Anolis sagrei: one gene and its partner. The protein of the gene in region 1 interacts with the protein of each later gene in a pairwise test. Links are inferred from orthologs where the notes say so. Each region holds a gene or a part of one and is shown on either strand. Other genes may lie near its edges.

Region 1 (6,883 bases):
TAAAGTTGACCAAAAACTGATTCGTAACCCTTTTGGTACTAATGTTGGAGAGCGGTCCCTGGTCAAAGTATTCCCTGGTCAACAAAATAAAATAAAATAAGGGAAAAAGCATAGTATGTTTTTTGGGCTATATGACCATGTTCTAGAAGCATTCTCTCCTGATGTTTCGCCTGCATCTATGGCAAGCAACCTCAAAGGTTGTGTAAGGTCTGTTGGAAACTAGGCAAACAAAGTTTATATATCTGTGGAACGATGTCCAGGGTGGGAGAAAGAACTCCCACATGAATCAATTCCAGAAAGGAAACAATCACGGCCAGCTAACACCTCTTAAGAAAAGATTCCCCCAGGCAGGAAGCAGCCAGGCTTTGAAGCTACAAGGCCATTCAATGCTAAACAAGGTGGGCAATTGCAACATTCACACTTGCCTCAAAAAGGCAAGAGTTACAGGTTGCTGTGAGTTTTCCCAGCTGCCTGGCCATGTTCTAGAAGCATTCTCTCCTGATGTTTTGCCTGCATCTATCGCAAGCATCCTCAAAGGTTGTAAAGCCTGTTGGAAACTAGGCAAGTGGGGTTTATATATCTGTGGAATGATGTCCAGGGTGGGAGAAAGAACTCCCACATGAAACATGAAACAATTCCAGACAGGAAACAATCAAGGCCAGCTAACACCTCGTAAGAAAGCATTCACAATCATAAAAATTGGCTATGATGATGGATTCTGGAGGTTTGCAAGCAGAGGTTGGATGACCATTTATTGAGAAGGCTTTTTATGGTATCTTGGTTGGAAAGGGTTGGATTGGATGGTAATTTTGATGATGTTTATGTTTTGGTGTTATAAACAACAAACAACATCATCAAAATTACATAGACAAAGAAAAAAGTATATACAATAAAGGGGTTGCTTTCAAGTCTATGAATCAATAATCATAATCACAATCATAAAAATTGGCTATGATGATGGAGTCTGGAGGTTTGCAAGCAGAGGTTGGATGACCATCTATCGGGAGGGCTTTTTATGTATGGTATCTTGGTTGGAAAGGGTTGGATTGGATGGCAATAGAGGGGGTCGCTTTCAATTCTGTAAATCAATAAAAATAATAATCATGATCATCATCTTCATCAGCGATGATGATGGAGTCTTCTTCTCTGGAGGCTTATATGCAGAGGCTGGATGGCCATCTATCAGGAGGGCTTTGATTGTGTCTTTCATTATGGCAGAAGGGGGCTGGAATGGCAGGTCTTTGGGGTTCTCCAGTGGAATATGAATTGCCTTGGAGACTGGTGGCATCTCCTCAATATTTTTTAAAGCAGAGGCTGGATAGCTGTCTGTCAGGAGGGCTTTGATGGTGTCTCTATGGCAGAAAGGGACAGGAATGGATGGCCTTTGGGGTTCTCCAGTGGAATATAAACTGCCTTGGAGATAGGCGGAGCCTCCTTCTCTTGAAGTATGTTTGAAGCAGAGGTTGGATGGCAGTCTGTCGGGAGGGCTTCGATGGTGTCTTTCTTTACGGCAGAAGGAGGCTGGACTGGGTGACCTTTGGGGTTGTCCAGTGGAGTATGGGCTGCCTTGGAGACTGGTGAAGTCTCCTTCCCAAAGTTTTTTAAAGCAGAGGCTGGATGGCCATCTGCTGGGAGGGCTTTAATGGTATCTTTGCAGAAGGGGTTGGACAGAATGGTCCTCTTCTCTAGAAGTTTTTAAAAGTAGAAGCTGGATGGCCATCTTTCAAGGGGCTTTGATGGTGTTTTTCTGGCAGAAGGGGACAGGACTGGATGGCCTTTGGGGTTCTCCAGTGGAATATAAACTGTCTTGGAGACTGGTGGAGTCTACTTCCCAAAGTTTTTTTAAAGCAGAGGCTGGATGGCCATCTGTCGGGAGGGCTTTGATGGTGTCTTGGCAGAGGGGTTGAACTGGATGGTCCCCTTCTCTAAAAGTTTTTTTAAAGCAAAGGCTGGACATCCAACTGTCGGAAGGGCTTTAATTGTGTCTTAATGGCAGAAGGGGGCCAGAGACTGGTGGAGTCTCCTTCTCCGGAGGTTTTTCAAAGCAGAGGCTGGACGTCCATCTGTCGGGAGGGCTTTAATTGTGTCTTAATGACAGAAGGGGGCCAGGGACTGGTGGAGTCTCCTTCTCCTGAGGTTTTTCAAAGCAGAGGCTGGACGTCCATCTGTCGGGAGGGCTTTAATTGTGTCTTAATGGCAGAAGGGGGCCAGGGACTGGTGGAGTCTCCTTCTCCGGAGGTTTTTCAAAGCAGAGGCTGGACGTCCATCTGTCGGGAGGGCTTTAATTGTGTCTTAATGGCAGAAGGGGGCCAGAGACTGGTGGAGTCTCCTTCTCCTGAGGTTTTTCAAAGCAGAGGCTGGACGTCCATCTGTCGGGAGGGCTTTAATTGTGTCCTTATAGCAGAAGGAGGATAGAGACTGGTGGAGTCTCCTTCTCCTGAGGTTTTTTAAAACAAAGGCTGGACGTCCATCTGTCGGGAGGGCTTTAATTGTGTCTTAATGGCAGAAGGAGGCTACAGACGGGTGGAGTCTCCTTCTCCTGAGGTTTTTCAAAGCAGAGGCTGGATGGCCATCTGTTGGGAGGGCTTTAATTGTGTCTTAATGGCAGAAGGAGGCTACAGACGGGTGGAGTCTCCTTCTCCTGAGGTTTTTCAAAGCAGAGGCTGGACGTCCATCTGTCGGGAGGGCTTTAATTGTGTCCTTATAGCAGAAGGAGGCTAGAGACAGATGGAGTCTCCTTCTCCTGAGATTTTTTTAAAACAGAGGCTGGACGGCCATCTCTCGGGAGGGCTTTAATTGTGTCTTAATGGCAGAAGGAGGCCACAGATTGGTGGAGTCTCCTTCTCCTGAGGTTTTTAAAAGCAGAGGCTGGACCTCCATCTGTCGGGAGGGCTTTAATTGTGTCTTTATGGCAGAAGGGGTTTGGACTTGATGGCCCCCTTCTCTGGAAGGTTTTTCAAAGTAGAGGCTGGACGTCCATCTGTCGGGAGGGCTTTAATTGTGTCCTTATGGCAGAAGGAGGCTAGAGACGGGTGAACTCTCCTCCTGAGGTTTTTTAAAACAGAGGCTGGACGTCCATCTGTCGGGAGGGCTTTGATGGTGTCTTTATGGCAGAAAGAGGTAGAGACTGAGATTTTTAAGAAAGAGGCTGGACGGCCATCTGTCGGGAGGGCTTTGATGGTGTCTTGGCAGAAAGGGGTTGGACTTGATGGTCCCCTTCTAAGGAAGGTTTTTCAAAGCAGAGGCTGGATGGCCATCTGTCTTTATGGCAGAAGGAGGCCAGAGACTGATGGAGTCTCCTTCTCCTGAGGTTTTTTGAAATAGAGGCTGGATGTCCATCTGTCTGGAGGGCTTTGGTGGTGCCTTTATGTCAGAAGGGAGCCTTTGGAGCCCCCTCCCCTGAGCCTAGAGGAGGAGAGGAGCCCCCTACTCACCGTCCATGGTTGTGCTGCTGAACCCGCCCTGCATCTGGGCGAGGGGGTCCCCCATGGCCCGGGGGAGGAGGCCCGAGGAGCGAAGGCGGGCCTGAAGGCCTTCCCGAGCGGCGGCGAAGTCAGCCCACCCTCCCTCCCGCGGGGCCGCAGAGCTCTTCCGGGTCGGGGCCTGGGCCTAGCCGAAGCCTGGGGCTCGCCTGCCTGCCTGCCCGCCGGGAGCCGGAAGCCTGAGGGAGGCGTCGCGGGGCGGAATGGCTCCGTCCGAAGTGCTGCTGGGAAGGCCCCGCCCACTTCCCCCTGTCGCCGCCGCCTTTGGGTCTCTCTCTCTCGCCCCGCCCCCTTTATGCAAATCTGGAACCAAAAGGGGGCGGGACTTATGCAAACCCGGAAAGGGCGCGAGGGAGAAGTAGGAACCTAGAAGAACAACAACAAAGAAAATGGCGCCTGGCGGAAGTGGATTCTCTCCTCCCGGAAGTAGTTCCCGTCGATGCCGGAAAAGAAGGCCCTGACGAACGGCGAGGGTCCAAGATGGCGGAGGTGGTAAGTGAGGAAACCAGAAGGGATTTTTTGGAAAGGGAAAGGGAAGGGGAAAACGGTGGGAAACGCTGCCGGCTCCACATGGGTCTCCGTTGCAGGAGGAAGTCACCGAGGGCTGCCGCCTGCCCGTGCTGCGCCGGAACCAGGACAACGAGGACGAGTGGCGTGAGTGAGGGGCGGGGCTACAAGGCGGTGGGCGGGGCCAAGGGGTGTGATTGACGGGTTGGTTCCAGAGGTGAATAGCGGCGCCCATCTCGTTGGCGGGACTATAAAGTGGTGGGCGGGGCCAAGGGGTTGTGATTGACGGGTTGGTTCCTGAGGTGAATAGCGGCGCCCATCTCGTGGGCGGGGCTACGAGGCGGTGGGCGGGGCCAAGGGGGTGTGATTGACGGGTTGGTTCCTGAGGTGAATAGCGGCGCCCATCTCGTGGGCGGGACTATAAAGCGGTGGGCGGGGCCAAGGGGGTGTGATTGACGGGTTGCTTCCTGAGGTGAACAGCAGCGCCCATCCCGTGGGCGGGGCTACGAGGCGGTGGGCGGGGCCAAGGGGGTGTGATTGACGGGTTGGTTCCTGAGGTGAATAGCGGCGCCCATCTTGTGGGCGGGGCTACAATGCGGTGGGCGGGGCCAAGGGGTGTGATTGACGGGTTGGCTCCAGAGTTGAACAGCGGCGCCCATCTCGTGGGCGGGGCTACAAGGTGGTGGGCGGGGCCAAGGGGGTGATTGACGGGTTGGTTCCAGAGGTGAATAGCGGCGCCCATCCCGTGGGCGGGGCTACAAGGCGGTGGGCGGGGCCAATGGGGTGTGATTGACGGGTTGGTTCCAGAGGTGAGCAGCGGCGCCCATCTCGTGGGCGGGCCTACAAGGCGAGGGGCGGGGCCAAAGGGCGTGATTGACGGGTCGGCTCCAGAGGTGAGCCGCGGCGCCCATCTCGTGGGCGGGGCTACAAGGCGAGGGGCGGGGCCAAAGGGTGTGATTGACGGGCTGGCTCCAGAGGTGAAAAGCGACGCCCATTCCGTGGGCGGGGTTACAAGGCGGTGGGCGGGGCCAAGGGGGTGATTGATGGATGGGTTCCAGAGGTGAGCAGCGGCGCCCATCCCTTGAGCTGGCCAATCCCATTGGCATCCAGGATGGTCTGTCAGCAGGGAGTCCTGGCGCTGGGATCTGAATCCCTCCCAGGCGGATGGCTATTGTGTCCCTGAGAGTAAGTATGGTCTAAGGATATACACCCAGTCCATCACAACAATAGAAAAAAAATATAAAATGAAATAATAAATAAAATAATAACATAATATAGGATAAAACCATAAAATACAATAGTAAATAAAATAATTCTATAATATAATATATAAAACAATAAAATACAATAGTAAATAAAATAATTCTATAATATAATATATAAAAAATACAATACAACGGTAAATAAAATAATTCTATAATATAATAAATAAAATTATAATAGAATAAAATAAGTAAATTTATAATTTATAATTTTTATTATTATTATTATTATTTGCTTTATTTCTATACCGTATTTTTCAGCCCTTAACAGGCGACTCAATAGAATAGAATACAATAATAAATAAAATGTTAAAATGATTATTTTAATAAGTATAAAATAATCATAAATAAAATAGAAAATAAAATAATAAACGAAATGATTATTTCAGAATGTAATATACGATCAATAAAGTAATAAAATATTAATTAAAATAATTATAATCTAATAAATAAAATAATAAATAAAATAAATAAAATAAAAGAATAATAGTATATAAATATATATAATATAAATATAATATAAAAGAATAATATAATACATAAAGATAAAATACAATAGTAAATGAAATAATTTTATAACATACTAAATAAAATGATAATATAATAAAATAAGTAAATTTATAAAAGAATACTATAATAAATATAATATTAAAATAATTATGGGTTTTAATAAATATAAAATAATCATAAAATAAAAAATGAAATAATTATTTTATAGTGTAGTATATGATAAATAAAGTAATAAAATACTAATTAAAATAATTCTATAATATAATAAATAAATACAATAGTAAATATAATAATAAAATAATAGTAAATAAAACAATAATGTATAATATAATGTAATATAATCAATAAAACAATAAATACGATAGTAAATAAAGTAATTATATAATATAATAAATAAAACTATAATATAATAGAATAAGTAAATCTATAAGAATGCAATAATAATAAAGTAAAATATTAAAATAATTATGTATTTTAATAAATATCGAATAATAAATAAAATAATATATAATATAATAATAGTATAATATATTATAATACTATAATATAATAATAGTAAGTAAAACAATAATATAATGTAATCAATTAAACAATAAAATACAACATTAAACAAAATAATTCTATAATATAATAAAATTAGAATAGAATAACATTATAATAGTATACAATAACAAATATAATAAAAATAAAAAAATTAAAATAATTATGTATTTTAATAAATATAAAATAGTCATAAATAAAAATAAAATAAAATAATAGTAAATAAAACAATAATGTAATATAATATAATCAATAAAACAATAAAATGCAATAGTAAATAAAATAATTATGTAATATAATAAATAAAATTATAATATAGAATAAGTAAATTTATAATAGAATATACAATAATAAATATAATAATAAATAAAATAAAATAATAAATAAAATAATAATATAATGTAATATAATCAATAAAACAATAATAAAATAAAATAGTAAATAAAATATATAATACAGTAATTATAGTAATATATTTGCTATAAATAAAATAGTATATAAAATATATAATACAGTAAATATAGTAATAGTATAATTACTGTATTATATATTTATAATACAATAGAAGGGTGGTATATAAAT
Region 2 (7,909 bases), on another chromosome or scaffold:
GGAGATGACGGGATCCCAGCTGAACTGTTTAAAATCTTGAAAGAGCATGCTGTCAAGGTGATGCATGCCATATGCCAGCAAATATGGAAAACACAAGAATGGCCATCAGACTGGAAAAAAATCAACTTATATCCCCATACCAAAAAAGGGAAATGCTAAAGAATGCTCAAACTTCCGTACAGTGGCCCTTATTTCTACTGTCAGAAAGGTAATGCTCAAGACCCTGCAATGAAGACTCCAGCAATACATGAAGCGAGAGTTGCCAGATGTACAAGCTGGGTTTAGAAAAGGCAGAGGAACAGGAGACCAAATTGCCAATATCCACTGGATAATGGAGAAAGGCAGGGAGTTTCAGAAAAACATCTATTTATGTTTTATTGACTATTTTAAAGCCTTTGACTGTGTGGATCATAATAAATTGTGGCAAGTTCTTGGTGGTATGGGCATACCAAATCACCTTGTCTCTCTCCTGAAGAATCTGTATAAGGACCAAGTAGCAACAGTCAGAACTGACCATGGAACAACAGACGGGTTCAAGATTGGGAAAGGCATACGGCAGGCTTGTATACTCTCACCCAACCTATTCAACTTGTATGCAGAACACATCATGCAATGTGCGGGGCTTGACGAATGCAAGGCTGGGGTGAAAATTGCTGGAAGAAACATTAACAACCTTAGATATGCAGATGACACAACTTTGATGGCTGAAAGTGAGGAGGAGCTGAGGAGCCTTCTAATCAAGGTGAAAGGAGAAAGCGCAAAAGCTGAGTTGCAGTAAAACAAAAAAAAAAAAAACCAAGATTATGGCAACAAGAATGATTGACAACTGGGAAATACAGGGGGGAAATGTACAGGCAGTGACAGACTTTGCATTTCTAGGTGCAAATATAACTGCAGACTCAGACTGCAGCCAGGAAATCAGGAGACGCTTACTTCTTGGGAGGAGAGCAATGTCAATTTTCGATAAAATAGTGAAGAGTAGAGATATCACACTGGCAATGAAGATCCGCATAGTTAAAGCAATGGTATTCCCCATAGTCACCTATGGATGTGAGAGCTGGACCATAGGGAAGACTGAGTGAAGGAAGACAGATGCTTTGGAACTTTGTTGCTGGAGAAAAATTCTGAGAGTGCCTTGGACAGTGAGAAGATCCAATAATAATAATATTAATAATAACACTTTATTTGTACCCCGCTACCATCTCCCCAAGGGACTCGGTGCGGCTTACATGAGGCCGAGCCCGAACACAACAATACAAGCAATTAAAATAAAACATAAACATATAACATTATCAATAAGACAACATACAATTAAAACTATGGGAAGGCCAAATGTAAAATTAAAATTGGAAATAGTGCTAAACATGGACGAAAAGGTGATAGTGGCATTTGTGGAGAGACATATGAGCAGACCTAAAAAATGTAAAGTGCTTTAAAGGGACAAAGTGCTATGGGATCGTTAATCCGGGAAGGCACACTGGAACAACCACGTCTTCAAGCTCCTCCTGAAAACTGCCAGGGTTGGGGCCTGCCTGATATCCTTAGGGAGTGAGTTCCAGAGTTGAGGGGCCACCACCGAAAAGGCTCTCTCTCTCATCCCCACCAATTGTGCCTGTCCATACTTCAAGAAATAAAGCTTGACTGCTCATTGGAGGGAAGGATATTTGACGCCAAGATGAAGTACTTTGGCCACAAAATGAGAAGACAGGAAACCTCAGAGAAGACAATGATGCTGGGGAAAATGGAAGGAAAAAGGAAGAGGGGCCAACCAAGGGCAAGATGGATGGATGGTAGCCTTGAAGTGACTGGATTGACCTTGAAGGAGCTGGGGGTGGTGACGTTGTGGGCTGGTCCATGAGGTCACAAAGAGTCGGAAACGACTGAACAAATGAACAACAACAGATTGTATTGTCGAAGGCTTTAGTGCCCAGAATCACTGGGTTGTTGTAGGTTTTTTCGGGCTATATGGCCATGGTCTAAAGGCATTCTCTCCTGCTGTTTCGCCTGCATCTATGGCAAGCATCCTCAACTCTTAGGTTTTTACCCCAGAGTCTTATTCTTTGTTTTCAGACCGCCCTGAATGGAATTGTGAAGATCTCAGGCGCCTTCATTCCGGTTCTTTGGTACCATAGGAAGGTCTTGTCCTTCAACTTAGGCCACTGAACTGGGGTTGTGGTTTGAGAGAGGGAACAGGAAAAGCTTCTCATCTTACAACTCCTAGGTTTATAAAGTGATTTTCCCTGTTGAAACATCAAGTTTGTGCCTAGGAAAGTGAACTTATTGTCAACAATAAACACCATTTCAAGTTACTTGTTGTGTTCTGGTCCTCAGAGGTAGTGAGGTCTGTTGGAAGTAGGAAAAAGGCTTTATATATCTGTGGAATGACCAGGGTGGGACAATATATATCTTGTAAGCCGCTCTGAGTCCCCTTCGGGGTAAGAAGGGCGGCATATAAATGTCGTAAGTAAATAAGTAAGTAAATAAACTATTTCATGAGTGTGTGATTACTTAGTATATTATTGTGTTAATTGTTTTTAAATGGTTTGTATGATGTTGCATTGAATTTTTGCTCCTGTTGTTAACCGCGTTGAGTCGCCTACGGGCTGAGAAACTGCGGTATACCAATGAAATAAATAAATAAATAAATTTCCCTTCCTAGGAATACATTTCTTCCCATTTCTGTTGTGTTACCCCGTCCTGAACTATGAGTCATTTGCAAGTCAGATGTCTGTAACTCGGGGACTGCCTGTATTCGTGATTTCTGCTAGGGATCGGCTTGAATGATGGCCTAGCCCTGAGGAACTCACCTGTGGGCCCCACCTCCGCCTTTGGGGCCCCAATGTGCCCGGGACCCAGGCTCCTTCCCGGCGAGGAAGAGGCCTCCCCCTCCTCCTCCTCCTGGGGACCCTCCGGTGGGGCAGAGAGCAACGTGGCCAGCGCCAGCAAACCTTCCCCAATGTTTAGCTCCGGCTCCACTGCAGCCATGGCGGCTCCCAGCTCTGCTTCCGCGTCTCGGCGTCGCCATGGTAACCACCCCGCTCCTCTCATTGGCCGCAGCGCCGCCCAATCGCCGCCCGGCTTATCTCCGCCCCGCCCACTCTCAGCGCGTAGGCGCGGAAGGAGTGCGTCACAGATTCGCGCGAAGGAAGAGAGAAGCATCGCAGGTGAGTCTGGACCCGGCGGGGCCTTTTTGACGCATCGCCACTCCCATCATCCCCTGGCCCGCGGGATGATGCCGGAAAAATGTAGCCTCTCTTTGCTTGAGAGTGGTTCTTAAAAAGAGGCCTAGTTCTATACCCCGTGGTATATAATAATACTAATTGGTGGGGACAAGGGACAGGGACTTCTCTGTGGTGGCCCCTCGACTCTGGAACTCACTCCCCAAGGATATCAGGCAGGCCCTGATGTTAGCAGTCTTTAGGAGGAGCTTGAAAACGTGGTTGTTCCAGTGTGCCTTTCCAGAATAGGAAACCACAAGCACTTTGTCCCAAATCCACTTTACTGGAGATTTAGGTCTGTCCGCATGCCCTACCTATTCGCCAAAATACCTATACATTTTACCCGGCCATGCCCATATTATTATTATTAATTCAGACTAATTCAACCAGAGAAGTCAGCCATAGCAGAGCACCTGATGAACCAACCTGGACACAGCATATTATTTGAGAACACAGAAATGCTGGAACACTCTACTAACTACCATATCAGAATATATAGAGAAGCCATAGAAATCCAAATTCATGTGGACAGTTTCAACAGAAAGGAAGGAATCATGAAAATGAACAAAATCTGGCTACCAGTATTGAAAAAGTTCTAAAATCAGGACAGTAAATAAAGAACAGCACCCTGAAAACAGGAATTCCAGACAGGAATAACAGAATTAAAGAGTTGGAAGAGACCTCATGGGCCATCCAGTCCAACTCCCTGCCAAGAAGCAGGAAAATTTCATTCAAATCACCCCTGAGAGATGGCCATCCAGCCTCTAGTTAAAAGCTTCCAAAGAAGGAGCCTCCGCCACACTCCAGGGCAGAGAGTTCCACTGCTGAATGGCTCTCACAGTCAGGATCAATCGGGGCCAGCTAACACCTCCCAACAAAGGATCCCCCAAGCAGGAAGCAACCAGGCTTTGAAACTGCAAGGCCATTCAGTGCTAATCAGGCTGGCCAGTTGCAACATGCACACTTGTCTTAAACAGACAAGAGTTCTTTCTCCCACCCTGGACATTATTCCACAGATAACCCCATTTTCCTAGTTCCAACAGACCTTAGAATCCTAGAGTTGGAAGAGACCTCATGGGCCATCCAGTCCAATCCCATTCTCCCAAGAAGCAGGAAAATTGCATTCAAAGCACCCCCGACAGATGACCATCCAGCCTCTGTTTAAAAGCTTCCAAGGAAGGAGCCTCTACCACACTCCAGGGCAGAGAGTTCCACTGCTGAACAGCTCTCACAGTCAGGAAGTTCTTCCTAATGTTCAGATGGAATCTCCTTTCTTGTAGTTTGAAGCCATTGTTCCGCATCCTAGTCTCCAGGGCAGCAGAAAACAAGCTTGCTCCCTCCTCCCTATGACTTCCTCTTGCGTATTTATACATGGCTATCATGTCTCCTCTAAGCCTTCTCTTCTTCAGGCTAAACATGCAAAACTCTTTAAGCTGCTCCTCATAGGGCTTGTTCTCCAGACACTTGAACATTTTAGTTGCCCTCCTCTGGACACATTCCAGCTTGTCAATATCTGAGGATGCCTGCCATAGATGTGGGTGAAACATCAGGAGAAAATGCTTCTGGAATATGGCCATACAGCCCAGAAAACTCACAGCAACCCAGTTTTAAAAGCTGTTTGCTCACAGTTTATGCATAATCTCACTCAGGTTCAGCTTCTTAAGGTAAGTGAAAGAGAAATAGATTTCTCCACAGTTCCAAGGAGGCACGAAGTACTGCCACTTTCCCATCCTATTTCCTCAATGGCAAATTGTCAGAAAGGAAAGGTCAAGTGGGCCAAACACTGTGCAGACACAGAGAGAATAACAGGAGTGTATTCAGGGCCCAGGAAGAGGAGGGTGTAAACAAACATGGAAACAGGAAGTCAGCTCTCAGCAACAACCACCAGAGGGTTCAGCTTGCAAAGGTAGCTCTCTCTCCAACAGAAGGGGGCCATCCATGAGCTGCACATCAACTTTGGGTTTACTTTGTGGGAACTTGGTATTGGAGAAACTGGGCTGATCCCAGTTTCTCCAGTGGGTTCAGCACCTTGGCCATCAGGCCTTTTGGGGACCCAGAGTTCTTTCTCCCACCCTGGACATTCCACAGATATATAATCTGCACTTGCCAGGTTTCCAACAGACACCTCAACCTCTGAGGATGCCTGCCATAGATGTGGGTGAAACATCAGGAGAGAATGCTTCAGGAACATGGCCATACAGCCCAAGAAACCCATAGTAACCCATTGATTCCAGCCATGAAAGCCTTCGACAACACAATAATAATACTTTATTTTTAACCTGCCCTTTCTCCCCGAGGGGACTCTACTCATCTTCCAAAGACAAAGATGGCAAACGTTCAATGCCATGTGCAGTGATAGAAATAGAGATAAAACAGAAACAAACAGTTTAAAAATAAGCCAATAAAACAATCTAGATCAAAACATGTAGTCGATCAACCTCATAGATAACACAATAGTCTGATAAAATAGGTATAAAAATATAAAAATAGATACATTTGAGAACATGGCTCTCTAATAAGGTAATATAATCTTTGTCAGCATCGTGAGGCATGATAAAAGCAATAAAAGCTAATCATCTTCCTCTCCAAAGGACAATGTGTAAAAGTATGTTTTTAATTGCTTCTTAAAGGAGAGGAGTGAGAGGGAGTTCCAGAGGGAGGGTGTGGTCATGGAGAAGGTCCTCTCTCTCATCCACACCAAGTTGTGCTTGAAACAGTTGGGACCACAGTGCCTGTGTTGGTTCACATGTGGAGATACGATTAGTTAATAGCCTGGACCTGAACCATAATACGCTACACCTTAAAGCCTTCTTGACTTGATATACATATTAAGATACAGGAGTTAAAAGACAATGTGGACAAACCAAACTTAGAATAATTGAATAATAGAGTTGGAGAGAGAGACCACGTGGGCCATCTAGTCCACCCCCTGTTTAGGCTTCCATACAGGCCCTATTTTCCAGGATCTGAGCCCAGGCTTCCTGCTTATCCCAGATTATCTGGCAGTGCAGACTCATATAATCCCCTTTAAAGCAGACATGTACTTAATGGAACTTAAAAGAAATGGGAGTATCAAGTGGAGTCCACGACATGCGAGTGTAGAGAGGAGCAGACCACAGACCACTGACAACAATGCAGTCTGAGCCCCACCACATGCACAATGGACGACAGCAACACCAAAATATAATATAGCATATTGTATATACATATAATATTTGTAATATTATAATGTAATACAATACAATACTAGTAATAATAATACAATATTATAATTAGAATTATATATTTACATTACATGTAATATTACTACTAATATTACAATATAATGGTATAGTGCAATATAGTAATATATAATACTGATATTGTACTATGCTAATAATATAATATATTGTATGAAAATATATATTGTAAGACGCTCTGAGTCCCTTTCGGGGGGAGGGGGCGGCATATAAATGCCGTAAATAAGTATAATAAATATATAAAGGCACTCCAAGTGGTCAGCTTCTAGTCAAAGGAAATTTAGTACAATGCCACGTTTTTAACATTGTGGTATTTTATACATTATAACTCTCTCCACAATTTGCTTTTGACACGATAAGTAATTGTGAAGTGATTATAAGTGCAGTGCTTGCACACTGCACTTATTTTAAAATCTGACAAGCCACCTGTCACATCAGCACTTTTAATCTGTACCCATTACTTTTGGCCCGGCCCCAGTTTTATTGTGTTTTGATGTATTGTTTTATTGCTCTGTTGTTTTTGATATTGCTTTAATTGTTTTGATTTGCTTTGAGTTGTGTATTTGCTATGCTATGTTTTGAGGCCTTGGCCTTTGTAAGCCGCATCGAGTCCTTCGGGAGATGCTAGTGGGGTACAAATAAAGTTAATAATAATAATTATAAGTAATATCATCAGTTGGGAGCCCCCCAGCACCAACTGCTACTCTGAGATCAGAATGAAGAGAGGGGCCAGGAAGGCAGTTCCATCTTGTCTCCTGCACTGTGCATATAATATAATATAATATAATATAATATAATATAATATAATATAATATAATATAATATAATATTTATAATATTATAATGTAATACAATATACTACTACTACTACTAATAATAAAATGATATTATAATTAAATATTTTATATTAAATGTAATATTACTAATAATATTACAGTATAATGTTATAGTACAATGTAATATATAATATTAATATTGTGCTATGATAATAATAATATATTGTATTTACTTTTTATTTGTAAGCTGCTCTGAGTCCCCATCAGGGTGAGAAGGGTGGCATATAAATGCCGCAAATAAATAAATAAATAAATGAGTGAAATGTTGGTTTTTGTGTGTGTCAAGAGCGACTTGAGAAACGCAAGTCGCTTCTGGTGTGAGGGAATTGGCCATCTGCAAGGATGTTGTCCAAGGGATGCCCGGATGTTTTACCATCCTGTGGGAGGTTTCTCTTACGTCCCTGCATGAGAAGCAGGCACTGACAGACAGGAGCTCACCATGCTCCTCAGATTTGAACTGCTGACTTTTTAGTCAGCAGTCTTGCTGGCACAAGGGTTTAACCCACTGCACCACTGGGGGCTCCAATTGATATGGTAAAGAGACTTTTATGGACACCTGTGTTACTTTCACTGTATTATGTATACTTTGCAAAGGTAGCACTGTGTTTTTTCTTTG

Evidence for each region. The genes of interacting proteins can lie anywhere in the genome.
Region 2: the proteins of KAT5 (region 1) and DNAAF6 interact in binary tests that used the Homo sapiens proteins (3 or more experiments, as listed by UniProt). The two-hybrid records come from large-scale screens. The link is inferred for Anolis sagrei from reciprocal best matches to the Homo sapiens genes KAT5 and DNAAF6.

What each region holds. Positions count from the first base shown.
Region 1 is NC_090032.1:9,830,612-9,837,494, forward strand, and holds the start of KAT5 (histone acetyltransferase KAT5), read left to right. Parts: upstream 1-3,863; 5' UTR 3,864-3,962; coding exon 3,963-3,974; intron 3,975-4,069; coding exon 4,070-4,136; intron 4,137-6,883. Other genes in the region: RELA (transcription factor p65), read right to left, coding at 3,435-3,489. UniProt on the Homo sapiens protein: Catalytic subunit of the NuA4 histone acetyltransferase complex, a multiprotein complex involved in transcriptional activation of select genes principally by acetylation of nucleosomal histones H2A and H4.
Region 2 is NC_090030.1:19,941,971-19,949,879, reverse strand, and holds the start of DNAAF6 (dynein axonemal assembly factor 6), read right to left. Parts: upstream 3,010-7,909; 5' UTR 2,986-3,009; coding exon 2,808-2,985; intron 1-2,807. UniProt on the Homo sapiens protein: Plays a role in cytoplasmic pre-assembly of axonemal dynein.